Macaca mulatta: one gene and its partners. The protein of the gene in region 6 binds, or shares a complex with, the protein of the main gene of each other region. Links are inferred from orthologs where the notes say so. Each region holds a gene or a part of one and is shown on either strand. Other genes may lie near its edges.

Region 1 (3,500 bases), on a different chromosome or scaffold from region 6:
CCTCAGAGGTCACAGGCTCCTCTCTTCTGACCTGCCTGTGTTTCCCCTGCAGAGCAAAGCTGCAGCCAGTGCCACTCGTGAGTGGACAGAACAGGAAACCCTGCTTCTCCTGGAGGTAATTGGGGCAAAGAAAAGAGTTTTTCTCTGGAAACAGAAGTGGGCTCCGTGTAGAGGCTCACACCTGTAATCCCAGCACTTTGAGAGGCCAAGGCAGGAGGATCGCTTGAGCCCAGGAGTTCGAGACGAGCCTGGACAACATAGTGAGACTCTGCCTTTATGAAAAATTTAAAAAATTAGCCAGGTGTGGTGGCACACACCTGTGGTCCCAGCTACTCAGGAGGCTAAGTGGGAGGCTTGCCCAGGAGGTCAAGGCTCCAGTGAGCTGTGATCATACCACTGCACTCCAGCATGGGTGACAGAGTGAGACAAGACCCTGTTTCAAAAAACAAACAAACAAAAAAAGAAAACAGACATGTTGAAGTTGCTGGCCACACTTGTGAGTGAGGAGAGATCGTGGAGTTTGGCATGAGCAGAGCATGATCTTGCCCTGTCTCTCCCGTTCCCAATGCCTGTTGCACCTGCCCCAGGGACCAGCTCCAGGCTGGGGATTTGGGCCATTTCATTAACTTCATATCCTTTCTTAGTGCTACTTCAAGATCCCTCTTGGACCTAGCAGAGTACACAAATACCAGAACATAGAGAGCTTTGAAACCAGCTGCCCTTAGTAGGATGGGGGGAGTCGGCCTTCGAGAAAAGTGGCTAAGTAAGCGGAGTTATGTCTCCACCACTACCACCAGGCACTGGAAATGTACAAAGATGACTGGAACAAAGTGTCCGAGCATGTGGGAAGCCGCACACAGGACGAGTGCATCTTGCATTTTCTTCGTCTTCCCATTGAAGACCCATACCTGGAGGACTCAGAGGCCTCCCTAGGCCCCCTGGCCTACCAACCCATCCCCTTCAGTCAGTCGGGCAACCCTGTTATGAGCACTGTTGCCTTCTTGGCCTCTGTCGTCGATCCCCGAGTCGCCTCTGCTGCTGCAAAGTCAGCCCTAGGTAATGGGGGTGGGCGGTTCCACCTGGCCTTCTTAGTTTGCTTTTGAAGGGCTAGTTACTCAGACTGTGAATCCTCTCAAGTTTGGCTGCCCTGCTGTCCTTGTCTGTGCAGGCCTCAGCTCGGGCATCTGTCTAGGCTCCATACTGGCTTAGATAAAGACATGGGCTTGTGAGTAAGCTTTTGCAGGGATTGCCAGAACTGTCCCCCTGCGCCACTCCCAGCCTCATCCTTTCTGGGTCTTACAGAGGAGTTCTCCAAAATGAAGGAAGAGGTACCCACGGCCTTGGTGGAGGCCCATGTTCGGAAAGTGGAAGAAGCAGCCAAAGTAACAGGCAAGGCGGACCCTGCCTTCGGTCTGGAAAGCAGTGGCATTGCAGGAACCACCTCTGATGAGCCTGAGCGGATTGGTAAGGCCAGGCAGGTTCCCACATTTCTTGCCTTTCACAAGAGCCGGAGCCACCTGGCCTCCCTGTGCCATTTCTGCCTCAAGTTGGCATCAGAGCACAACATGAATGAGAAAATCGGTAGGGTTTTTATTTTCCCCATGAGCTTACCTCAGGGGCTCTGGACCTCTACTGGCCCTCTCATGAAGATTTTGGGTAGAAAAATCTTGGCCTGTAGAAGGGGCTATTAGAAAAGTCTTGTGAAGGCTGGGCGCGATGGCTCACGCCTATAATCCCAGCACTTTGAGAGGCTGAGGCGGGTGGATCATGAGGTCAGGAGTTCAAGACCAGCCTGGCTAAGATGCTGAAACCCCGTCTGTACTAAAGATACAAAAATTAGCTGGGCATGGTGGCGCGCACCTGTAATCCCAGCTATTTCGGAGGCTGAGGCAGGACAATAGCTTAAACCTGGGTGCCAGAGGTTGCAGTGAGCCAAGATCAAGGCCACTGCACTCCAGTCTGGGCAACAAAGCAAGACTTCGTCTCAAAAAGGAAAAAGTCTTGTGAAGGCTGGGCGCAGTGGCTCATGCCTGTAATCCCAGTACTTTGGGAGGCTGAGGTGGGCAGATCATTTGAGCCCAGGAGTTTGAAACCAGTCTGGGCAACGTGGCTAAATCCCGTCTCTACAAAAAAATACCAAAAAAATTAGCCAGGCGTGGTGGCATGTGCCTGTAGCCTCAGGTACACAGGAGGCTGAGGTGAGAGAACTACTTGAGCCCAGGAAGTCAAGGCTGCAGTGAACCATGATTGTGCTACTGCACTCCAGCCTGGGCGACAGAGTGAGACCCTGTCTCAAAAGAAAAAAGACAGGTGTTATGGAGAAGCTGGGTGCAGAGGCTCACACTGTAGTCCAAGCTGGTCAGGAGGCTGAGGTGGGAGGATTGCGTGGGCCCAGGAGTTTGAGACCAACCTGGGCAACACAGCAAGAACCTGTCTCTAAAAAAAAGAAGAGTGTTAGACACAGACGACTGTGTATTAGACATTTCCTGTTTTCCTTTTCCCATGGGCCCAGAGGAGAGCGGGAATGACGAGGCTCGGGTGGAAGGCCAGGCCACAGATGAGAAGAAGGAGCCCAAGGTACGGAGGGATTGCTGGGAGCTGCAGGGGCTGTGTGCAGCACTGTGGTGATGGGGGAATTGGCCTTGTTCAGCTTAGGTGGGCAAGGGCTGGTTTTGGACGGGGTTGTCTCCTAGAATGAAATCACCTCCGAAGTAAGAGGAATAAATTTAGTTCCCTGTCTGGCTCCTCTGTGTGAGAACTAATCACCCCAATCCCTGATAACTCTCCTTTTCTATCACTGGAATTTCAGGAACCCCGAGAAGGAGGGGGTGCCATAGAGGAGGAAGCAAAGGAGAAAACCAGCGAGGCTCCCAAGAAGGATGAGGAGAAAGGGAAAGAAGGTGACAGTGAGAAGGAGTCTGAGAAGAGTGATGGAGACCCGATAGGTGAGCCTCCCACAAGGGTAGGTGGGGGTGCAGGGAAGAGAGGTGAAACTGTGGGGCTAACTTAACCCTTGTCCTGGCCCAGTCGATCCGGAGAAGGAGAAGGAGCCAAAGGAAGGGCAGGAGGAAGTGCTGAAGGAAGTGGTGGAGTCTGAGGGGGAAAGGAAGACAAAGGTGGAGCGGGACATTGGCGAGGGCAACCTCTCCACCGCCGCTGCTGCCGCCCTGGCTGCTGCCGCAGTGAAAGCCAAGGTGAGGCCAGACCTTGAAGACCTCAGGGAAGAAAATGCCCACTTCTCTAATCTCATGTTACTTAGAGGAAATCCTTCCTCACTCACACCTTAAATAATGCTGACCTATTTATTTTTAATTTTTAATCTCTGGAGGAGGTAAAGTTAGTCATCCCTTCTCTAAGCTTTAAAAAAATATGTCACCATTGGGCCTGTTTTCAACCCTGTCGGTATTTGACTCCGTGTTACCCTTTGCCACAGTATCTCCATGTTTTTATTGAGACAGAGTCTTGCTCTATCAGATCTCGCTCACTGCAGCCTCCACCTC
Region 2 (3,500 bases), on a different chromosome or scaffold from region 6:
ACAACTACATTATTTCAATAGATGTAGAAAAGGCTTTTGGCATGTTAAAAACTCTAGATAAACTAGGTATTAAAGGAACATACCTCTAAATAATAAGAGCCATCTATTACAAAGCCACCCAACATACTGAAATGACCAAAAGCTGGAAACATTCCCTTTGAAAACCGATACAAGAGAAGAATGCTGTCTCCCACCACTCCTATTCAACATAGTATTAGAAGTCCTGGCCAGGGCAGTCAGGTAAGAGAGAGAAATAAAGGGCATTCAAGTAGGAAGAGGGGAAGTCAAACTACATCTGTTTGCAGATGACATAATTCTATATCTAATAAACCCATAGTCTCAGCCCAAAAGCTCCTTCAGCTGATAAACTTCAGCAAAGTATCAGGATACACAATCAGTGTACAAAAATCACTATCATTCTTATACCAATAGCAGCCAAGCCACGAGCCAGATCAGGAACACATTCTCATTCACAACTGCCACAAAAAGAATAAAATACCTAGAGATACAGCTAACCAGGGAGGTAAAAGATCCCTACAATGAGAATTACTCACTGCCCAAAGAAATCAGAGATGACAGAAGCAAATGAAAAAACATTCCATGCTCATGGATAGGAAGAATCAATGTTATTAAAATGGCCATACTGCCCAAAGCAATTTACAGATTCAATGCTAATCCTATCAAATCACCGATGACATTCTTCACAGAACTAGAAAAACTATTTTAAAATTTAGATAGGCACAGTGACTCACGCCTGTAATCCCAGCACTTTAGGAGGCCAAGGCAGCCGGATCACTTGAGGTCAGGAGTTCAAGACTGGGTGACAGAGTGAGACTCCATCTAAAAAAAGAAAAAAAAAAAAAATGTTTCCAGAAGAATAAAATAAATAACATTTAAAATGCTGATTATTAGCTCTTCCGTTTATGGAAAATTAACCTAAGGAAGTAATCAAAAATTTGGGCAAAGCCTTATCCTCAATAAAAACCTTATGATATTTGCAAATGATAGCTTGTACTGGAACTTTTTTTTTTTTCTTTTTTTGAGACAGAGTCTTGCTGTGTCACCCAGTCTGGAGTGCAGTGGTGCGGTCTTGGTTCACTACAACATTCACCTCCCAGGTTTAAGCGATTCTTCTGTCTCAACCTCCCAAGTAGCTGGGACTACAGGCACCCGCCACCATGCTGGCTAATTTTTTTATATTTTTAGTAGAGACGAGGTTTCACCATGTTGGCCAGGCTGGCCTTGAACTCTTGACCTCAAGTGATCTGCCTGCCTCGGCTCCCAAAGTGCTGTGATTACTGGCATGAGCTACTGCTCCCGGCGTGTACTGGAACTAATAAGTTTTACTTAACAAAAATAAAAGTCGGCTGGGCACAGTGGCTCACACCTGTAATCGCACAGTTTTGGGAGGCTGAGGCGGGCAGATCTGAGGTTGGGAGATCGAGACCAGCCTGACCAACATGGAGAAACCCATCTCTACTAAAAATACAAAATTAGCCGGGCATGGTGGTGCATGCCTGTAATCCCAGCTACTCGGGAGGCTGAGGCAGGAGACTCGCTTGAACCTGGAAGGCGGAGGTTGCGGTGAGCTGAGATTGTGCCACTGCACTCCAGCCTGGGCAACAAGAGCGAAACTCCATCTCAAAAAAAATAAATAAAAATAAAAGTCATTTTGAAAAAAGCATTTCCTGTCAGGGCAAGTGTTCATGATATATTAAATATATATACATATATATATAGTTTTTTGTAGAATATACATATTCCATATTTCTTCAATTCTATGACTGCATTAAATGTGTCATATTTGTGTAATAACTTGTTAGTGAAATGAAACACATTGAGAAGCCTTAAGGTGGAAGTGAAGTATATCAGAGATTATCTCTAGAAATACCTGATTTGAAACGACGTATGTACTTCTTTGTGCCTTTCAATATTATCCGAAATGACCATGTGATCATTTATTAGTAAGATGATGTTTTTATTCTATACATCCTTTGTGTAGTTACATATTCATTTAAATTAATGATGGTTGTAATTCAAAAATACAGTTTTGAGTAGAGGCTATTAGGAATGTAAAGATCATACTGTTGCTGATTCCTGCCTTCGCACGTTGCAAATGGAATTAAATGTATTGAATGTATTATTAGTATGTGTTGTTTGAATCCTACATCTGACTCCAGCATCCCTTTGGTGAGTACTTTTTTCCTTTATTTATTTATTTTTTTACCTAAGAAGCTGAAAAGAGTGAAGATTCCTCTGGTGCTGCAGGCCTTTCAGGCTTACATCGCACATACAGCCAGGATTGTAGCTTTAAAAACAGCATGTACCATGTTGGAGATTATGTCTATGTGGAACCTGCAGAGGCCAACCTACAACCACATATAGTCTGTATTGAAAGACTGTGGGAGGATTCAGCTGGTAAGTTTGTTTTAAATCAAAGAACAGTTTAGTGAGATATGACTATTTGACTTCTCCTTGCTCTTCAGGGAAGAAAATTTTAACTCAAATATCTTATGCCTTTCCATAATAATTGTTCAATATATCAATAAATGTAAGTAAGCACCCATCATATGAAAAACATAGGACCTATTGGGCAGTGTCATAGTTGAGTCAAAAGAAATACAGCTTCTTAAAGTCTGGTTGAAATTCATTCGTTCAGTTGATACTTATTAAAAACATACTTTGAGCCAACCTTTCTGTGGAGTGACAGAGATTCAAAAGAACAAAAAGTTCATGTTTTTCCCTTGCAAAACTACTCCAGTAAGGAAGATTATGATCAAAAAAGAAATTATTATAGAATGACATGCCTTGGCTTGGCATTTGTTTTCAAAAAGGCTTTCTAGAACAGTTGCCTTTAAATTGAGACATAGAGTATGCATAGAAGTTAATGAAACCAAAAGTTGGTGGAAATGTGATCCAGGCAGTCCAGTTCTTTGAGCTGTTTATCACATGAAATACTTTTGTATTCCTTCACCAGAGAGGTAAATATGTCCTTCAGTAGTATATGTCTACCCTTACTAAAGTGCACAACTCTAGGTATGTACTAACCAGAGCACAGTGGAGCAGGTCTCATCACCTGTCCTCCTCATTATATATTTTATATGGCTTTTAATATGAAGAAGAGCCTGGGTAACATGGCAAGACCGCTTCTCTAGAAAAAATAAGAAAATTAGCAGGGCATGGTCGCACTTGCTGTGGTCCAGGCAACTTGAGAGGCTGAGGCAGGATGATCACTTGAGCCCAAGAGGTTGAGGGTGTATATATATATGAGGGGGAAATAGTAGCATGCATTTTTTAGGCCTCATTACACTTTATTATTTTAGAGTATTATTTCTCCTATGGATAATTATATTAAACTGTAGCTGTAAAAATAAGCACAGTGCTAGGTTCAGATCATGGCAGAATGGATTGATGGTATATTTCCTAATTTTGCAAAGAATGTGTGATTTCTGAGCTGGACACAGTGACTTATACTTGTAGTCCCAGCTACTCAGGAGGCT
Region 3 (3,500 bases), on a different chromosome or scaffold from region 6:
TCACGTGCAGGTTAGAGTTTGAGAAACACTGACTTTTACTGCAGAGAAGATGAGAGAAGGAGCAGAGGGGCAGGCACGGGCACCTAGGTGCCTCAGCCACATTGCTGACCTGGCCTGGCTGCTGCTCCAATCTGGCCCCTAAATGCTACTTATCTCCTATTCCCAAACTGAATGTAACTGAAAAAAAACAGGGCTAACAGATTTTTTTTTTTTGAGACAGAGTCTCACTCTGTTGCCAGGCTGGAGTGCAGTAGCGCGATCTTGGCTCACTGCAACCTCTGCCTCTTGTGTTCAAGCGATTCTCCTGCCTCAGCCCCCCGAATAGCTCGGACTACAGGCACATGCCACCACGCCCAGCTAATTATTTGTATTTTTGGTAGAGGTGGAGTTTCACCATGTTGGCCAGGATGGTCTCGATCTCTTGACTTTGTGATCCGCCTACCTCGGCCTCCCAAAGTACTGGGATTAAAGGCCTGAGCCACTGCACCCAGCCCATTTTGTTTTAAAGTCTCAGCTTTTACTTCAACCTTAAGCCTTACTCTGGAACCGTATGTTTTTCATAATAGACTATTTTTTTAGAGAATAGAATTTAAAGTATAGTATCATAACTCACACCATTTGAAAGTCACATCTTGGGCAGAAATTTTTTAAATTAAAAAGGTTTTTTAATTCAAATTTAAATCATGGGCAGCAGTTTTTTTAAAAGTTTTTCTTCAATTTTTTTTTTTTTTTTGAGATGGAGTCTCATGCTGTCACCCAGGCTGGAGTTCAGTGGCACGATCTCGGCTCACTGCAACCTCCACCTCCCGGGTTCAAGTGATTCTCCTGCTTCAACCGCCCAAGTAGCTGGGATTACAGGTGCTTACCACCTCGCCCGGCTAATTTTTTGTATTTTTAGTAGAGACAGATTTTCACTCTGTTGGCCAGCTGGTCTCGAACTCCTGACCTCTGGTGATCTGCCCACCTTGACCTCCCGCAGTGCTGGGATTACAGGCGTGAGCCACTGCACTCGGCCTTAAATTTTTAAAAATTTTACTCTGGTGTCAGCAAATTATTAAAAGTCATATGCAAGTATACCAACTCCTTTGCTTTTTGGTGTGTTGTCTTAGTTGGAGAAGTCCTGATCCAGGGTCGCTTCCTGAATGAGGACTACTGAGGGTGAGAATGGAGGTGGCACAAAGCATTGCTGTCTGACCTAGGGGAAGAGATTGCCAATCTAGTTTCAGAAAAAATAGTTGATTAGATTTTTTAGAATACATGCTTCCCAAATTTGTTTACAATAATTTGTTACTAAAAATTTTGCTTTCTATATTAATATTAAGTAATATCATGTACCATGCACTGGTGTATGAGGTAGATGCTATTATTAGGCCTGTTTTACAAGTGGAGTGATAGCACAGAGAAGTAGCAAAGACCTGGAACAGTGGTGGACGTGGATGTGAGCTGGCAGTCAGACTTGGGGCTACTGACATTTTATTTACTGTTTTGTTTTTTTGGGTTGAGGGCAAAGAGGAGAGGCGCATTATCTCTTAGAATCAAATGCATATTTTACATAAGTCTAGTGAAAAGATGTTCAGGCTTTTTATTAACCCTACTTGATGACAAAAATTAAAAATTAATACTCTATTTTTCGGAAGTCTTTGGAGTTACTCAAGAAGTTTAAGGCTCTCTTCATAGGTCAACGATGAGTCTATTTATATTTAATAATAAAGGGAAACCAAAAATAAACGCTCTGAACTTCAGGTACTCACCAGATGAGCTGCGGTATCTGCCATTAAACACAGCCCTATATGAGCCCCCTCTGGATCCTGAGCTCCCTGCTCTAGACAGTGACGGTGATTCAGATGATGGCGAAGATGGTCGAGGTGACGAGAAACGGAAAAATAAAGGCACTTCGGTGAGAACATTTCTCTCTAGTGGGAAGCGTTTCCTTTCTCTTTGAATTTTTGCTAATTGCTTTCCTGGAATGTTACATTGAACTTCTGTCATCACCCTCTCTTTGAAAAAGGATGGTTGCATGTAATTTCCAGAAGGTATTCATCAAGAAAAGTTATTTATAGTATGTTTTGATAAAAAACAAGCCGTGTGTGGCCTTTGGTAAGATTTATACTTAAAATCGCCCCTTTGTAGTTACCATGAGCGATTTAGGCAAGGATATTGGAAAATTAGCTTACAGTCATTTATTCAACTTGTTGTCTCTTTAGCTTAAAATATTGAACAAAACAGAATTTGATCTCTTGACACAGAAATGTAGTTTTCTTAGTTTAGGGGAGTGCATTAACTTAGGTTTCTTTTGCTTAATCTTAGGCTTCCTATAGGAAAATATTGTGTTTAGTAATATGTTGTGCAATTTGTTGGGTTTTCCTGTATGACTCTTTTTTTGTAGCAAAATGCGCTTGCAAAACAATGGGCAGCTGGTGAATTCTGTGGATCTGAAGGAGAACAGAATCCCCTTGATGGTTTAGGGCTTTGATCACAGTGATGACATAGGGCTTTGAATTTCTTTAGCATTGTGTTTTAAGTAACTGGCTATTTCAGACTTTTCATTGAAGCCAATCTAAATGTGAGGTTGTGCTACCATTGAATGGACATTATTTCCTTGTCCCCAGCAGCTTCTAAAACATCTTTAATAATACATATTATGCAAAATAAGATGCTGTTCAAGTATTAAAGTGGTGATACAACTTTTCTCCTGTTATGTTGCTAAAAGGGGAGCTATGGCATGCAAAGGGGGATGAAGCTGACTTCCTTTCATACTGCTAGGAAAAGTGGAAACTAATCCAACATTATGGGAAAGCGTTTTGACAGTCTTACCAATTTAAGTTCCACAGAATTTGACCTCGCAAATCCACTAGTAGAATTTATCCTAAGGATTTAATCAGATGCTGAAAAAAATTTAATTAGAATAAAAAGGTCTGTTTGAGTGTTTACAGTATTTTTTATCCTGGAAGTTACAAATAAATTTTAATGCCCACAGTGGGTAATATTATATTACATTTATAGGATAGAAATGCAGTTCAAAGAATATTTAATGATTGTGAGAACATGCACATAATGCTTTTAAAAAAATACCAAAACACACACATGCATACACACGCAGTGTAATCCAGTTTTGTGTTTTAAAAAATGAGGGCACAATGAGGTTAGGGGGTATGTGTGAGTCTCGGTATCTTTATGTATATAAGTGGACACCCAGAAAAAAGATGAAGTGGATATATTAATGTTTCTAGTCAGTGTGTGTTTATCAGGGAGGCTCTAGATAATCTAATTTTTTCATTTATAATTTTCATAATTTATATGAAAGTTCTAATTAGAAAATTTAAAATTATAAAATGAAGAATTAAATCATTAGATATTGAGGTCTTAAACCTTGAATATATGCAATCTTTCACATCCTGTTGTAGATAGTTGAGGGATTGGCTCTGCATGGTTTAACATTATGAAAACACAAATGTGTACTCGAAGGAATTTTTTTTTTTTTTTTTTTTTAACTGCAGCAC
Region 4 (4,186 bases), on a different chromosome or scaffold from region 6:
CTGACCTTGTGATCAGCCCACCTTGGCCTCCCAAAGTGTTGGGATTACAGGCGTGAGCCATCTCGCCTGGCCCTCCTGATCACATTCTATTCATTTTTTTATTTAATATATTTTACTGTCCGTGACACAGCCCTCAGGAGATCCTGAAAACGTACATACCCTCATTTTTAAAAGGTCTCAAAACCTTATCAGCAGTTAGTCACTTTCTCATAAGCAATTAGTTACTTGCTTCTCTGAGATCATATAGCATTATGTTCACAACTCCATTATGGCCAGTCGTACTTTTTGAAACAGGGTTTTGCTCTGTCGCCCAGGATGGTGTCGTGAGTGGCGCGATTATAGCTCACTGCAGCAGCCTGCATCTCCCCAGCTCAAGCGATCCTCCCACCTCAGCCCTCCAAGAGGCTAGGAGCACAGGCTTGCAACACAATGCCCGGCTGCTTTTTGTACTTTTTTGGAGAGACGGGGACGGGCGTGGCGGTCTAGAGCTCCTGAGGTCAGTCGATCGTTCCGCCTCAGCCTCCCAAAGTGCTCCACGCCCGGCCAATCATACCTTGATAATTTAAAAATTTTCGGCTTCTATATGGGCCATTCATTAATTCATCAAGTATTCACTGTACATGTATTCATTGTCTCAGGTGTTCAGGATACACCTGTGAACAAGTTAAGATTAGGTTCTCATGTAATTTATGTGGAAGGTAAATGAGAAACTAAAAACACCGGGTCATGGTAAGCGCTACGCAGAAAGTGTATGGGTGTGAACAGTTCAAGATTGTAAGATATGACAACGGCTTTCTGAAGTCCTTTGAACCAGTGAATCTGAACGCGTCTCATAAGTGAAAATCAGAAGGGAAGACCCGCTGAGGTCTCCGAAACAGCCGATGCAAGGGCCCGTGGGGGCAGGAATGAGCCGCTGTGGCTGGACCCCTGAGGGAGTGGAAGGTCTGTGAAGCCGAAAAGCCTTGGCGTGGGCGTCCCAGATGGCTCTTCCCAAATGCCGCCGGGCCGCTGGGGGTGGAGGGTCTAAGGGAAAGCCGGGCCCGGCGCACTCGATACCCTAGGCAGGCTTTCCCCTCGGCACTTCTCGCACCAGACCTTTTCCCTTCAGCGGAGGCAGGCTATGACACAGAATCAACCTGCGGTTGTTAACCGCATAACGATTCGACGTCGGTAGCGAGGGAAGAGCATGGCTCAATAACCGGCACTCACTAGGGGAGAACGGAGCCTACAGAGGCTGGCGGAAGAGGCGGCTGGACGTGCTAGTCCAAGGCGCGCCCGCACGAGTGCTGCGCATGCGTATGCGCGGGCTCGCGTCGGATACGGCGCCAGTCCCGAGAGGGGGCGGGGCCGGGCGTCCGCACCGGAAGGGGGTTGGCTGGGCGGGGCCGGGAAGCGGCAGTGGCGGCTACGCGCGCGCGGGCGCGCGCGGGAACGAACGGGAAACACCGCGAGGGCTGGGGTGGGCCAGGCTGTGGGGACGACGGGCTGCGACGATGGCCGCAGCGGCGGGCGGCGGCGGGCCTGGGGCAGCGGTAGGCGCCACGGGCTCGGGGGCCGCGGCGGTAGCCGCAGGCCTAGCCGTTTATCGGCGGAAGGATGGGGGTCCGGCCACCAAGTTTTGGGAGAGCCCGGAGACGGTGTCCCAGCTGGATTCGGTGCGGGTCTGGCTGGGCAAGCACTACAAGAAGGTGGGTTCGCGCGCCCATGGGGGCCGGGAGACCACGCGACTGGGGCCGGAGGCGGCATCTGGCCTCGCGGGCCTCGGGCCTCCCCTCCCCCCCGCACGCCACGAGGGACAACAAAGGCAGGCGCAGGGCCCGCCACGCCCCCGCCGTCCGCTCTGGGCGCCCGCGCGCCGGTGGCCTGACGGGTCAGGCGCTTGTTCTTGTGAGCCCACGCACCCCTGGCGAAAGCCCCTGCTCAGTCTCGTGTGCCAGAGCAGGTCGAGCTCAGCCACTAGGCGAGTGTGACTCTCTTTTGTCAGCTGCCTTAGGTGTATGAACAATGATCCCTAAAGACCGAGCAAGCGTGGTAAAAGCAGCTTCAAGTTTTGTTTAGAGAGTATTCAAAGTCTCGAGGGGGTTTGCTACCTGTTGTTGATTTGCTAAACGACTGGGATGATTGTATTCGTTAATTACTAACAGGTAATGTGAATTCTAGGATGGATGAGAGCTATTAACGACGGTTTCTACCTCATTGTGCTTCTGGTTCTGTGTGGCGTGAGAGTTAATGTTCACTTGTACGTAAAGTGTTCTTCAGGGAGGCCTTCCGAGAACCCAGTTTTTATTAGAGCACTTTTCTTATGTCACCTTTATTTTCTTCGTAGTGTTTACCACATTTTGAAATTAGTCATTTACTTATTTATCCTACCTTTGGAATGGAAGTTCCGCCGAGTCAGTAGTTTTCAAAGTTTTGACTTAATCCCTTGTTTATAACATTTTTTTTTTCTCCAACTTCCCCTTTGTGTAAATATTCCGGAGAACTCCCTTAAAGGGTGTAATGAAGCAGGTAGTCAAAAAGGCTCCCCAGCCTCTGAAGTTTTCCTATCACCCTCTTTAATTCTGTACTTTCTCCTATTGAGGATCATAGCACTGAAGAAAGGGCTTTGTTCACTACAGTGTATCCGGGAACGTGGCTGATACTTAGTGCCTTACCCTTAGTAGCTGCTTAGTAAATATTTGTTTAATGAATGAAAAGATAAACTAGGAACCTATTTATTTGGCCTTTACAGCTCAGTGAAGCCTGTCAGTGTTTGGCAGTTATTAGGCATGGGCAGGGATCTTGGGTTCCTTTGGCATTACACGTGGTACATTCGGAAATGACCATTTCTGGCCGGGCGCGGTTTGGGAGGCCGAGGCGGGTGGATCACCTGAAGTGAGGAGTTCGAGACCAGCCTGACCAACATGGTGAAGCCCCGTCTTTCCAAAAAATACAAAATTAGTCGGGTGTGGCAGCACACGCCTGTAATCCCAGCTACTCGGGAGGCTGGGGCAGGAGAATAGCTTGAACCTAGGAGGCAGAGGCTGCAGTGAGCCGAGACCGCACCATTACACTCCAGCCTGGGTAATAGAGTAAGACTCTGTCTCAAAAAACAAAAACAAACAAGCAAAAAACAAACCCCAGAAATGACCATTTCTTTCTTTCTTTTTTATTTTTGAAGTTCAGCTGGGAAAAATTACATTTCTTGTCTGAAGTTTGAGGAAGTGAGAGACAGTAATTATATTTTTAGGTGCTTGGACCCCCCCCCCAAAATTACATTTAGACTCTAGATGTTTAGTAATATTGCCCTTTCTTACACAGTGATAAATTGGTCACTTTTTATTTTATTTTATTTTATTTTTGAGACGGAGTCTCGGTCTGTCGCCCAGGCTGGAGTGCAGTGGTGCGATCTCCGCTAACTGCAAGCTCCACCGCCTCCCGGGTTCACGCCATTCTCCTGCCTCAGCCTCCCTAGAAGCTGGGATTACAGGCACCCACCACCACGCCTGGCTAATTTTTTTGTATTTTTAGTAGAGACGAAGTTTCACCGTGTTCGCCAGGATGGTCTCGATCTCCTGACCTCGTGATCCGCCCGCCTCGGCCTCCCAAAGTGCTGGGATTACAGGCGTGAGCCACCGCGCTTTTTAAACGTAGGTAATAGAGCTTCCAGGAGTGGCTAGTGGGATTGAATATGTTATGAAAATATTGGTTAATTCTTTCTTATTACATTCCTTTTAGCCAATGCTTTGGGTCTTAAATTCAGTGAAGCTTTAACAAAGAAAAATAATCTAGAGATGTTCCTTTGAATATCAAGGAAGAGAGTAGAAAAAGGCAAATTTCAGTAATTTCTACCTCTCCACACTGTTCAGTGTGCATCAGTTTGGGACCAACTACAAGAAGCTTTAGGTGTGGATAATCATCTTCAGTATTTGTTTGGGTGGGTAGGGAAGTGGCTACAAAGCAGTTTGAAGAATTGCCCAGTAGTATTGAGACCACTAGGCTAATGTTGATTCACTATCCCTGAGACTTTATAGACAAAGTTGTCTTTGACTTCTCAGGACTTTGTAAAGCCAGAGTGTATTTCTGTGGTCTACTGAGATTGAGAATCATATATGCCCTAGGCCTGACAGCCAGAATCTTTTCAGTCTCTGGGTGTTAGTGTCGAAGTGGTGAAAATATTATCAGAAGGTTCTTTGCTTCTTTTCTA
Region 5 (4,296 bases), on a different chromosome or scaffold from region 6:
AGCAATTTCATGTACATTTTCTCAAGCACCACTCAAGCTGCCTGTCCACAGGGCAGACGACCTCTCCTTTAGTCTTTCTCTTGAATATGCTCTTCAATTCATTAATCTCTATTCATGAGTATAACAATATTGGATAAATTGGACAGAGCAGCACTTGTTCCTGGCTTTGCAGACTAGAGATGCTTCTATTCCCTGTTGGCACACTCAGGATGAGGGCTAAGGGCAGCCCAAGAATTCAGCCTCTCTCTCTAAATGTCAACTGTTTTCAAGTAACGACAGGTCAGGGGTCCCATCTGTTCATTCTCCTCCACAGTGGCCCACAATATCCGTCAGGTGTTTATGTATCCAAAGAGAAGGCTACTCACTCCATCTGGTAAACCAACATACTCATGATGTAGTGGAAAGAGTCCCGGAGTAGCACAGGGGGCTGCCTCAATACACATTTACTGAGCGTCTAACAGTGAATGAGTCAAGTCCTTCGTAGGCACTGGCAAGGGGAAGATGACCAATACAAACGGCTGAACCTTGCTTTCAAGGCCTTCATAAAGCACTAGAGATGACAAACACGGTCCGATACAAAGGGTCAGGTTCAGGACTCCAGTCATTATTATCAAAGAGCCACGGGAATACAAAGGAAGGATTACTAGCGGGGGAAGTTCCTGGAGGGCATCACAAAGAGACCTCTGAGCTGGATCCGGAAGGACAGATGAGTTTAAGCTGAAAGTGGGGTCGGTCGTTCCCGCTGGCGGGAACCGAAGGAGCCAAGGCAGCTTTGGGGCGGAGACCAGGTGGCACCCGCGGCGCTGCAAGGACACACAAGCTGTTGCAAGAGGGTCAACCTCTCCGGGCCTTGGCTCAGAAACCTGGGACGATTACACCCTAAAAGCGCTTGGAAAAACTGCAAAACTCGTACTGCTTTTCGCCAAAGCTACTACCGTGCCGTGAGGGCAGGAAGTCCTGCGAGGCGTCTGCGAGGACGCAAACGCCGCGAAGCGAGTCCTCCACGCCTCCATCCCCGGCATAGTGAAGTGTAGACTCTGGCCCACAGCCGAAAGGAAAGACCCGGGTCGGGGAGGGCCCCTCCAGGGGCGGGCTCAGCCGGAGTCTGGCCGAGCTGCGCGCGGCCACAGTGGTTCCGCGGCCTCGCGCTGAGTGCCTCCCGCCGTCTCCCACTGCAGCCCCCACCGCCCCTCCGCAAGGCCCGGCGCCTCCCGCCACCTCCTCGGTCGCTGCGGCCGCTCCAGCTCCTCACAGCCGCTAAACCCAGGCCTATCCCGCGGTCGGTTCTCTTCGGCCCTCTTCGCCGTGACGAATCGGCGCCCGGCTAGGAAAGTATCCAAATTCGGAGAGTTTTGAGGAACCAATGGGGCCTGAAAAAAATCCCGGAGTGTGCTAAGCATCACCGCATCCTCACTAGAAGGTTTATTTTTTCCAAAGAGGGTCGGGTGGGGCCCGGAAAAAAAAAAAATTAAGAAGAGTGTGGAAAGTGCGAGTGCGGAAGCTCCGGACGCGAGGGGCGGGGCGTGCGCGGGACAAAGGGAAGCGAAGCCGGAGCTGCGGGCGCTTTTTCTGCCCGCGGGTGAGTGTTTCCAAGTGGGCCGGACCGGGTCGGTGGGGGCAAGTCGTGGTGTCCCCGCTTGGCTGAACTCCGAGTTCCCGGGGGTTGCTGGGGTTCAGGCTTGGCCGTGGGGCCACAGCCGGGAGCCGGTTGCGGCCTCCTTGAGGCCTAGCAGAGCAAGGGTTGGAAGGGAGTCCCATCTGGGGCCCCCTCCTTGGAGGCAAGGCCGGTCACCCGAAATTGGTCAAAGCACCTGTGCATACCCCGTTTTAGGGGAGTTGCTAGTAAAGTACGTTCTCCAAGACAATGAGAGTGACCTCAGGAAGCCCGCGGGCGAGGCAAGTCCGTGGTTCTCACCCCCAGGAATAAGGTTCCCCCATTGGTTCAGGCAGCGACCTGAGGACTCAAGATGTGGCTTATGGAGACGAGCAGCGCTCTGAAATAGTTTGGCCTGGGTTTGAAACCCAACTCTGGCACTTCCTGGCTGCATATGGCTTCAGACAAGTTGTTTAGACTCTCCGAGACTCCCTTGTTTCATCTGTAAAATGGGGATAGCTGTACATATCAAGTACTTGTGACTGTTAAGCGAAATAGGGTCATAAGCCTACCCCGTATAAAGTATTTCTTGAACAAATATTTATCGGGTATTTATTTTTATGCCAGGCACCAAGGATGGATCCAACGGTGGACAAATGTACAAGCCCACTCTTAAATTTTATGTTCTAGCAAAGGAGAACCATAATTTTAAAGTATTAACAATGAAGTATAACGTACAGGGAGCTTAGCTTATGGCAGTTGTCAGGGTGCCCTGCAGCGAGGCCTGCTGGATGTTGACAGCTCCCTTAATGTGAGCAGAAAGGAAATCTACACCAGAGTCAAAGGTTTCTGACTGTTCTTTAAGAGGGAAAGACTCAGGTTGGACCATTGAGAAAATGAACTGTTTCTTTCCACACCAGGACTCATTCCTTACGCTCCAGGGAATTTCCTTAAAATGAGTAATAGAAGTGAAAAATCGGATCTATTCCACATAACTTTAGATGCAAATACCTCCAATAGTCATAGAAGTTTATTTGCCTTCTTTCTAAAGATGAATTTTTGTCTTTTTGTACCTCACTATTTGTGATGTATGTTGATGTAAAGAACAAGCTCACATGTGCCTGATTATGTTGTGAGCTGGTAATACTAGGAAAAAATTTCCTAAGAATTGAGCTGGGTCCTGCCATGGTCCCTGTTTCCAAGTAGCATACAATCTAGCCATATTGACAAGTTAAAAAAAGTTATAATAATATCATAGATCTGTGTAAACTGTATAGGAATACAGATGGGGGAGCAATTAATTCTGCCCAGGTAATGTATCAAGAAAGTTCCATTGAGGAGAAAAATTTTGAAATGGGCCGTGAAGGGTGAATAAGAATTTTTCAGGTAGACTCTCAAAATTTATTCCCAGCATTTATGAAGCTATTTACCACTCTTAAGAGAATGCGAAGTTCATTGTCATACCAATTACCTTTTGCACTGCTTCCAGGAATAAAATGCTGCCCAATTTTAATAAAAATTGTTATCCCAAAAACATGGTACAGTTGCTGATCAAGGAGCTGTCAGTATCTGGTAGGCCTTGTTGGGTTGGACTCTAATACATCACTTTGTATTCTCATGCTTGTATCAGTCCGATGAAATGTTTACATGGCGTCAGCAAAATGTTTTCCATACAAGAGGTAGCTTAGTATCCCAAGAAAAAACCTGAAAGTACATTTCTAAATATCCCCAGTACTTTATTTTAGTCATTTAATTCTAATCAACCAAATCTCCTATAAGAACTAGTTAAAATATGCAAAAGGCTTAATTACTAGGAATTAAGGTGAAGTAGTTTTACTCAGAAATACCAATTAAATTACCCTATTCATTAGGAAAACATTCTCGTATGCTTGCTGAGTTTTGATTCTCTTTTTTTTTCCTTTTTTTTTTATTTTAGTGTCTCAGATTCATTCTTAAGGAACTGAGAACTTAATCTTCCAAAATGTCAAGTAAGTTTCAATTTTTATATTTATCGATCTATGTTAATAAGAGACTAATGCCCTAGCAAGTGGGAATTCCAAAATACTCTCATTTTTTTTTCTTCAAAACAGGACCATTGGTAGTTTTGTTGCATAGTATTATATCTCAGTTGTTTACAAGAAGTTATTTATTTTCTTTCAAACAGAAAGACCATCTTATGCCCCACCTCCCACCCCAGCTCCTGCAACAGTAAGTTTTAATTTTCTTGTTAATGTAATAGCCAAGTCTGGCCTTGATACAAAAACCCAGATGTCTTCCAGTGACAGTCACTCAATCATCACAGCAACAGGATGAAATTCAGCTTAAAAGAAAAAAAAAAAAAAAAAAAAAAAGCATTTCCTACTAAATAAAATAATTATTTGCATCTTTCCTTGAACCAACCCCAACATTTAAAGAAACAATACTGTAAAACTCCAACCTCCTATGCTCAGTTTGTTTTGTTTTTTTCTTTGTAAATGGGAAATAAGTGAAAGTTTTACCATTTCTTTCTTATTAATCTTCACTATTAAGAGTCTTTAAGTTGTTACTGAATGAATGCTCATTCTGGCTTTTTTGTTAAACCTAACCTTCAACTGGTTATGTTTTTCTCTCCTTTCTTGTCTCTCTATAAAATTTTCATATTAAACAATAAAGCTTCTGAAACTATACTCATTGTAAGTATTTTCAAGCTGTTCAAGTAAAGA
Region 6 (3,988 bases):
AGTCACCGTGCCTGGCCTCTTTTTTTGTTTTTTGAGACGGAGTCTTGCTCTGTTGCCCAGGCTAGAATGCGATGTTATAATCTCGGCTCACTGCTAGCTCCGCCTCCCGGGTTCACGTCATTCTCCTGCCTCAGCCTCCTGAGTAGTTTAGGACTACAGGCGCCTGCCAACATGCCCGGCTAATTTTTTGTATTTTTACTAGAGACCGGGTTTCACCATGTTAGCCAGGATGGTCTCGATCTCCTGACCTCATGATCCACCAGCCTAGGCCTCCCTAAGTGCTGGGATTACAGGCGTGGCCTACCGCGCCCGGCTAATTTTTGTATTTTTAGTAGAGACGGGGTTCACCGTGTTGGTCAGGCTGGTCTCTAACTCCTGACCTCAGGTGATCCGCCCGCCTCGGTCTCCCAAAGTGCTGGATTACAGGCGTGAGCCACCAAGTTCAGCCTCTCACACTGCGCTCTTTTGCTTATTAATCTTGCTTCTTGTCCTCCTCCCCCACTAGACCGTGGGCTCCACGGTGGCTGAGATACAGTAGCAGATCAATAAATATTTGCTAAGCTAATTAACGGCACTCGGGAGGTTTTGCAGAGAAGGCGGCCACGGTCGGGCCCCGCCTAGCTCCCCAAACAGGCCTTGCCGCCCCAGATCAGGGATCAAAGCGGTTCCCAAGCGCGCCCTTGGTCCGCGGAAAACCACTGCCCGGTCTTGGCCCAGGCGGCCGGTCCTACGGTCCAGGGTTCCTATTTCCGAGCCTCAGGAACCTCCTTTCCCCATGGATCCCACGGCCACCGGGATCCCATCCCCCAATTGCCCCGCCGCCACCGCCACCGCCGTCGCCGTCGCCGCCGCAGTGGCGCCCGCTCTGCGCATGCTCCCGTGCGTCAGGACGCGCGGCGTGCGGAGGGCGAAGCTGCCCGTGCGCAGGCGCGAGGCCTCGCAGCCCGAGTGGGGCGGTGCACGGGACGCGCGTGCTTCCTCCGGACCACGCCCACCTCTGTCAGCTCAGGAGCGGGCGCGCACGCGCGGGGGGAGAGGAAGGGCGGGCTGGCGCGCGCACAAGGCTGGGCAGGCGGCGGAAGCTGGAGAGGCCGCCGCGGTGCTGAGGGGGAGGGGAGCCGGCGAGCGCGCGCGTAGCGGGGGCGCGGGCGGCGCGCGTGTGTGTGAAGGGGGGGCGGTGGCCGAGGCAGTCGGGCGCGCGCGCGAGGCTTCCCCTCGCTTGGCGGCTGCGGCGGCTTCTTTGTTTCGTGAGGAGAAGCGAGACGCCCACTCTGCCCCCGGCCCCGCGCGGAGGGGCGGGGGCGGCGCCGGGAAGGCGACGGCGCCGGCGGCTCCCGGTAAGGAACGCGGGCCGCGGGGGCAGCGCGGCGCGGGGCCAGGGAGGGCGGTTTGAATGGAGCCGGGGCGCCGAGGGGGGAGGGGGCCGCCGGCGCGCCCTGTGCGGGACCGGGGTACGGCGGCGCCCGAGGGTCAAGAAGCGCCGCCGGCAGCCGCGCTCGTGGGGAAGGCCACAGCGTCGCGAGGCCGCGGCAGCGGCGGTCCCCGCGGAGCGGCGGGGTGGGTGGGGGGCCCGGGCCGCGTGGAGGCCGCGCGATCCTCTCTGCGCGCGCTCTCGCCGGGGTCGCCGGACAAAGCTCGCCCCCCTCGCCCGGCACCCCTACAGTAGCCCTCCCAATTGCAGCGGCTCCAACAATAGGCAGGCGTTGGGGCTTTTCTGGCTGCGTGTTAAGGGGTCCGACCCGAATGTTGCCTTTTTGGCGAAGCTACGATCTGGGCTCAGTAGCCAAACCTCCAGATATGTCCGGCGTCGGCCGGACACGGGCATTAGCGGCCCCCTTGGGCTAGCCGACTTCAAATTGTCTTAAAAACGCGTCATTCCAGATTTTCAAGGAAAGGTAAAGGACTCCCCCAATGACTTTCAGTTAGTGACTTCAAAATGTTTGCCCGGAATTGGGGTTGGGGATGGGGTCGGCGGCAAGTAAGGGAGCACGGTGGAAATCCTTTGCTGTGTAAAAGCATTGCTTTTCTTTTGCATCCTTTTTCCTCCTTCCCAATTGGTTTTTCAGATTAAGGCTTTTATTTTCAACGTGGACCTTTTAGGCGAGTGTTTTGTCCGGATCTTGAAGACACCAGTCTTGATTTTTGTTTTTTTTTTTTTTTTGGTCAATGTCTCCTTGGGGAAAGTAGAAAGGGAGTAAGCGGAAAAGCCACTTCGCAGGAATTTGAAACAAGTTTTCAGTTTGGATTGATAGGGTGCATTAAGCTTGATTCCTGGTGCTGTCAGTCACTTAGCACACTGTCACTTTAGGGAAGTGCTTAACCTCTCTGAACCTCTTAGTTTTCCTCCTTTGTGAAAGCTCCTTTGTGAAAGGGGGTAATCTCCCAAATGCAGTTGGTAAAAGCCTGTAAAATGGTTCCTGGCAAGTGGGAAGCACGTTGTTACTGTCTGGTTCAGTCTCCCTCATTGTTCAGCAAATAACTTCTTGAGGTCCTACTAAGTGTTGGATGGTCGGGGGGTTGGATCCTGGAACCTCTGCAGTCTTGGAGGGGATCGGGTGGTCAACGTGGGAACAAACACTCTTGGCCTGTCATTTAATGCTCTTGACCTGCGCTGTGAGAGGGACACAGCGGACAGGCAGGGGATCGGTGGTAGCCAGAGATCACGGGGGCTGCCTGAAAGAGGGGCCCTCAAAATCAGGGAGGATATATGTAGGATTGTATTTTGTTTTTGAGACAGAGTCTTGCCTGTCGCCCAGGCTGAAGTTCAGTGTCCCGATCTCCGCTCACTGTAACCTCTGCCTCCTGGGTTCAAGCGATTCTCCTGCCTTAGCCTCCTGAGTAGCTGGGACTACAGGTGCCCGCCACCACGCCTGGCTAATTTTTGTATTTTTAGTAAATATGGTGTTTCACCATGTTGGCCAGGCTGGTCTCAAACTCCTGACCTCAGGTGATCCACCCACCTCGGCCTCCCAAAGTGCTAGGACTACATGTGTGAGCCACCGCGCCAGAAGTGTATTTTGACTTTCCCTGGCCACCTGGGACTAGCCATTGTTCCCCTCAGCTATACTCACGCATCACCTTGGTCCTTTCCGGTGTAGCTGTCACCCCCAGCACCGTGAGAGCTGGGGTTGTGTCTGCCTGGCTGACCCCAGAGTACTCTGGGCCTGACACATAGTAGGTCTTTAGAGAAATTCTGTGGATTGAATGAGGGGGGTGGGGTCCTGTGGAAGATCACGTGACCATCTGTGTAAAAGGCTTGGTGCAGGGTGGGGTGCAGTGGCTCACACCTGACATCCCAGCAATTTGGAAGGCTGAGGTGGGGGAATTGCTTGAGCCCAGGAATTTGAGACTAACTTGGGCAACATAGTGAGACCTCATCTCTACAAAATATATAAAAATTAGCTGGGTGTGGTGGCATGTGCCAGTGGTCCTAGCTACTCAGGAGGCTGAGGTGGGAGGATTGCTTGAACCAGAGACGTGGAGGCTGCAGTGAACCATTCTTGCGCCCCTGCATTCCAGCCTGGGTACTAGAGTAAGAATGTCTCAAAAAAAAAAAAAAAAAAAGAAAGAGAAAAAGGAGAAAAAAAAGCTTGGTGCAGAACTGGGCATGGGTTGTAAGGGATACAGGTTAGTTATTTTAACAGTTTTTGAACTTTCCAAGCCATTGTTTCCCGAACCTCAGTTGTCTTCCTCTCCCCTACAAAGTGTGGGGTGGTGGTTAGCGTGGGGCGGTGGTAAGGAGTACCCATTCTGGAATCAGACCTCCTGAATTCACACCCAGCTCTTGAAATCCTAGCTTAACCTCAAACGAGGCGCTTAGCAGTAGGGCCCCCACTTGTGAAACAGGTAGGACGAGGATGCCTGAAACTTCACAGGCTTCTTGTGAGGGTTGAATGAGGTCACATGGGAAGCCGCTAACACACTGCAGCACCTGATGCATAGTGAACACTCGATTTTTTTTTTTTTTGAGATGGAGTCTTGTTCTGTC
Region 7 (3,500 bases), on a different chromosome or scaffold from region 6:
CGAGCCGAGATCACGCCACTGCACTCCAGCCTGGGCAACAGAGCGAGACTCTATCTCAAAAAAAAAAAAATTAAATAAACTATTGTTCGCTATCCAGAACTTGAACTCTCTTAGTATCTTTTGTGGGATGTAGAAGATAAGAGAATCTGGGTGTTAGCTGGACATGGTGGTGCATGCCTCATAGTCTTAGGCACTCAGGAGGCTGAGGAAGGCAGATCGTTTGAGCTCAGGAGTTTAAGGCTGCAAAAAGCTATGATCACACCACTGCACTCCAGCCAGGGTGCCAGAGCAATACCGTATCTCAAGAAAATAAAGAAAAATAATATCCGGATGTTGCATAGTTCTAGTTTTGGGGACCCATCAGTGTTTTCCTTTTAATCCTAACTAGATGATCACACAGCATTATTTGGCTCAAGTTCAAATCTAAAAGCCCAGAGTCTAACCTTGTCTCTCTCACTTTCCATCTTCTTCCTTAGGCCGCCAGGCTACCCCAATATGAATCAAGGGGGCATGATGGGAACTGGACCTCCTTATGGACAAGGGATTAATAGTATGGCTGGCATGATCAACCCTCAGGGACCCCCATATTCCATGGGTGGAACCATGGCCAACAATTCTGCAGGTAAGTGCTAGTCATTCTCACTAGGGATTTCTTCAGGAGTCACATCACAGCTAAACTTACTGGTCTTGAGAATTTTTTTCTCTTTTACAGGGATGGCAGCCAGCCCAGAGATGATGGGCCTTGGGGATGTCAAGTTAACTCCAGCCACCAAAATGAACAACAAGGCAGACGGGACACCCAAGACAGAATCCAAATCCAAGGTAGCAATTTTTGTCTTGACTCTTTCAATTTTGTGTCCTATCTTTTTCAGTGGTAGGAAGGAAAAAGAAAAGAGAGAGACAAGATCCCAGCCTTTTATGACACCGGACTAGATAGTCTCTGAAAAAGCTGCTGTTGCCTCCTCTTATCATGAAGGGTCTCAGAATAATAGCTCAGTGAGTTGGGTCTGGGTTGGTCTAAGGGATCCTGGTAAATAACATAATATTCTCACAGCTGTTTGTTATGGGGGAAATGCCAGACCCTGCAGCATCAAACTGTTTGTACTGTTTGGCTGGTGCCCTCTGTGAAACCGTGCCTCCTGTACTCAAGCATTGATAGATGGGGTGTGCCATGGGCAACTAGTTGCTCTTCTCTTCCTGAACCTTACTCGTGGCAGCAGGAATGGTACCCTGTGTACTGTAAAGAAGGAGATAAGGCACATGAGACTTGATTCCTTGGCTTCCCTTAGGTTGGTCCTGGGTGTGCTGTTAGGCTGTGCAGAAGTAATGGGTCCTACTCAGCATTTGGGTCATTTGAAATATTTCTGTCCTTGGCCATACCTCACTTTCCCTATCTATATACGTAGGGAAAATAAAAATCATAGCTGTTACCTCCTATGAGTTTTCACCTCTAGCTCCCAGCCCTTTTGACCATCCTTCTGTCTTGGACAGGATGATATCCAAAGCCCTTCAACCAGGTGGGAAACCCTTCCTTTCTTTAGAAGAGGCAAAGAGTTTCTTTTCATTTTAGTCCATCCCATTGCCTCAAGATCATGTTGTGAGTTTTTCGATTTACCTAAAACATAGTACCTAAGTATGTTCAGGCTCCTGGGTAGTAGTGTGGGAGTAGTAGTGGCTTTGATGTCAGATGGACAAGGATTTGATCCTCAGCCTGCCACTTAAAAGCTGTGAGATCTTACGCTTTGCCTCCTGGTGCCTGCTTCCTTATCTTTAAAAATGGGGATAATTTTATAATATCTAATATATAAAGGCATCTAGCATCCCACCCAGTACATAACATATATTCAGTGTTAGCTTCCTTCCTTTATAGGAAAAATAAAAATTGGTTCTTTTTTGGCCCTTCAACCTTGTGAAGGCAGGGCAGGTGTTAGTGACCACCCCAGAGTAAGAAGCTTTAACACTGCTCCAGTCAAGAGACTTCTGAGACCCTTAGCATAGGCTTTGAATCTGACCCATTCCTATGAATTTTGACCTGAACCTTCCAGAAATCCAGTTCTTCTACTACAACCAATGAGAAGATCACCAAGTTGTATGAGCTGGGTGGTGAGCCTGAGAGGAAGATGTGGGTGGACCGTTATCTGGCCTTCACTGAGGAGAAGGCCATGGGCATGACAAATCTGCCTGCTGTGGGTAGGAAACCTCTGGACCTCTATCGCCTCTATGTGTCTGTGAAGGAGATTGGTGGATTGACTCAGGTGAGTGGGTGCCTGACACTTGACTGCCCCTGTGGTTTCCACAAACCCCTTTCTTAGGTACTCACTGGCTTCACGTGGTACCATGCATCCCACAGGGACATCATCCTCTCCTGCTCTCTGAGTCGAATATTGATAATATTGATAGACCAGGGAGCACAGGTTTCCCAGAAGATAAGGCAGGAAGCAGAGACCTCCCTGGTAGTATGAGGTATTAGCAGTAAGTTTACCGTGTATCTAGGGTCCCACTGAGATGCAAAGCTAGGGAAGGTCTGTGGGCATTCTGATTCCATGGGAGGCAATTTGGCATAGTAGCAAAGACAGGATTTGGAGAGATGGACCTGGTTTTGAGTCCCTTCTTACCCACTTACAACATATATGACCTTAAGGTGTGTAACCACTCTGAACCTTAATTTTCTTATTTGTAAAATACAAACACTATGTAACAGTATATAACTCACTAGACTATCAAAAGTTAGAAAAACCTTGACTTTCAGCAAGGTTTCTGCCACATAAATCGGCCTGCAAGATGGTACAGAGGCAGCCAGAGTATAAGTAGATCTTCCCATTCCTGGAATCTTCCCAGTAGAGACAGGATTTCAGGAACTGTTTAGTAGAAATAGCTTATTATAAAGGAAGAAGTAGTAGGAAATGATGTGTTTAGTTTTTCTGTATGGGAAACTTAAATGATAACCTGAATTGGACACCACCCAGAGCTTGCGCCTACTCTGATACCTTACAATTTTGTAGACTTAGCCTAGGAGGCAAACAGGTGAGGCAGCACAGGCAGACAGCAGACTGTGCCTTGCAGACTTTCCTCCTGTGTGTGTTCTGTAGTCACCAGACCAGAAGCCTGCTGTTGGATCAGTTTGTGGCTGAGCTCGGGGAGGCGTGGCAGGGAGGGACTTATTCCAGACCTTCTAAATCAGAAGAGGAAAACAGCTGTCACCAGCAGAAAAGAAAGTGATTGGAATGAAGCCAGCCAACAGTCAGTTACGAATTCCTTCTCCCTTCAGGCTTTATTCCCCTCCCCCACAAAGGAAAACAAAACAAAACAAGACACGTGCATACTGCCACATAACTGGCATGAGAAGCAAAGCCATGGAAGGCTTTTGAGGTGACTCCATGTATATTCCTGCCATTCTCCCTGATACTCAGATCTCATAGTCAAGTCTTCCCTGCCTATAGGGAAGGGGAGCTTTGGGTTAGGTTTCGCTCGCTTCTGATTGGGTGAGCTTCAGGGTTCAC

What was found.
Region 1: SMARCA4 (region 6) and SMARCC2 share a complex: the UniProt entries of both Homo sapiens proteins name them as parts of the BAF complex. The link is inferred for Macaca mulatta from reciprocal best matches to the Homo sapiens genes SMARCA4 and SMARCC2.
Region 2: SMARCA4 (region 6) and PBRM1 share a complex: the UniProt entries of both Homo sapiens proteins name them as parts of the SWI/SNF-B (PBAF) chromatin remodeling complex. The link is inferred for Macaca mulatta from reciprocal best matches to the Homo sapiens genes SMARCA4 and PBRM1.
Region 3: SMARCA4 (region 6) and PHF10 share a complex: the UniProt entries of both Homo sapiens proteins name them as parts of the neural progenitors-specific chromatin remodeling complex. The link is inferred for Macaca mulatta from reciprocal best matches to the Homo sapiens genes SMARCA4 and PHF10.
Region 4: SMARCA4 (region 6) and SMARCC1 share a complex: the UniProt entries of both Homo sapiens proteins name them as parts of the BAF complex. The link is inferred for Macaca mulatta from reciprocal best matches to the Homo sapiens genes SMARCA4 and SMARCC1.
Region 5: SMARCA4 (region 6) and SMARCE1 share a complex: the UniProt entries of both Homo sapiens proteins name them as parts of the BAF complex. The link is inferred for Macaca mulatta from reciprocal best matches to the Homo sapiens genes SMARCA4 and SMARCE1.
Region 7: SMARCA4 (region 6) and ARID1A share a complex: the UniProt entries of both Homo sapiens proteins name them as parts of the neuron-specific chromatin remodeling complex. The link is inferred for Macaca mulatta from reciprocal best matches to the Homo sapiens genes SMARCA4 and ARID1A.

The regions. Positions count from the first base shown.
Region 1 is NC_133416.1:63,321,811-63,325,310, reverse strand, and holds part of SMARCC2 (SWI/SNF complex subunit SMARCC2), read left to right. Parts: intron 1-52; coding exon 53-115; intron 116-797; coding exon 798-1,056; intron 1,057-1,302; coding exon 1,303-1,464; intron 1,465-2,512; coding exon 2,513-2,577; intron 2,578-2,809; coding exon 2,810-2,945; intron 2,946-3,027; coding exon 3,028-3,194; intron 3,195-3,500. UniProt on the Homo sapiens protein: Involved in transcriptional activation and repression of select genes by chromatin remodeling (alteration of DNA-nucleosome topology).
Region 2 is NC_133407.1:116,140,845-116,144,344, reverse strand, and holds part of PBRM1 (protein polybromo-1), read left to right. Parts: intron 1-2,232; coding exon 2,233-2,418; intron 2,419-3,500. UniProt on the Homo sapiens protein: Involved in transcriptional activation and repression of select genes by chromatin remodeling (alteration of DNA-nucleosome topology). Required for the stability of the SWI/SNF chromatin remodeling complex SWI/SNF-B (PBAF).
Region 3 is NC_133409.1:2,316,796-2,320,295, forward strand, and holds part of PHF10 (PHD finger protein 10), read left to right. Parts: intron 1-1,743; coding exon 1,744-1,897; intron 1,898-3,500. UniProt on the Homo sapiens protein: Involved in transcription activity regulation by chromatin remodeling. Belongs to the neural progenitors-specific chromatin remodeling complex (npBAF complex) and is required for the proliferation of neural progenitors.
Region 4 is NC_133407.1:111,146,820-111,151,005, reverse strand, and holds the start of SMARCC1 (SWI/SNF complex subunit SMARCC1), read left to right. Parts: upstream 1-1,386; 5' UTR 1,387-1,493; coding exon 1,494-1,688; exon of another isoform or gene 1,689-2,828; intron 2,829-4,186. UniProt on the Homo sapiens protein: Involved in transcriptional activation and repression of select genes by chromatin remodeling (alteration of DNA-nucleosome topology).
Region 5 is NC_133421.1:65,026,263-65,030,558, reverse strand, and holds the start of SMARCE1 (SWI/SNF-related matrix-associated actin-dependent regulator of chromatin subfamily E member 1), read left to right. Parts: upstream 1-1,496; 5' UTR 1,497-1,579; intron 1,580-3,530; 5' UTR 3,531-3,575; coding exon 3,576-3,582; intron 3,583-3,758; coding exon 3,759-3,802; intron 3,803-4,296. UniProt on the Homo sapiens protein: Involved in transcriptional activation and repression of select genes by chromatin remodeling (alteration of DNA-nucleosome topology).
Region 6 is NC_133424.1:11,698,517-11,702,504, forward strand, and holds the start of SMARCA4 (SWI/SNF-related matrix-associated actin-dependent regulator of chromatin subfamily A member 4), read left to right. Parts: upstream 1-1,188; 5' UTR 1,189-1,337; intron 1,338-1,472; exon of another isoform or gene 1,473-1,895; intron 1,896-2,139; exon of another isoform or gene 2,140-2,834; intron 2,835-3,438; exon of another isoform or gene 3,439-3,589; intron 3,590-3,988. UniProt on the Homo sapiens protein: ATPase involved in transcriptional activation and repression of select genes by chromatin remodeling (alteration of DNA-nucleosome topology).
Region 7 is NC_133406.1:214,216,593-214,220,092, reverse strand, and holds part of ARID1A (AT-rich interactive domain-containing protein 1A), read left to right. Parts: intron 1-476; coding exon 477-622; intron 623-712; coding exon 713-822; intron 823-2,045; coding exon 2,046-2,255; intron 2,256-3,500. UniProt on the Homo sapiens protein: Involved in transcriptional activation and repression of select genes by chromatin remodeling (alteration of DNA-nucleosome topology).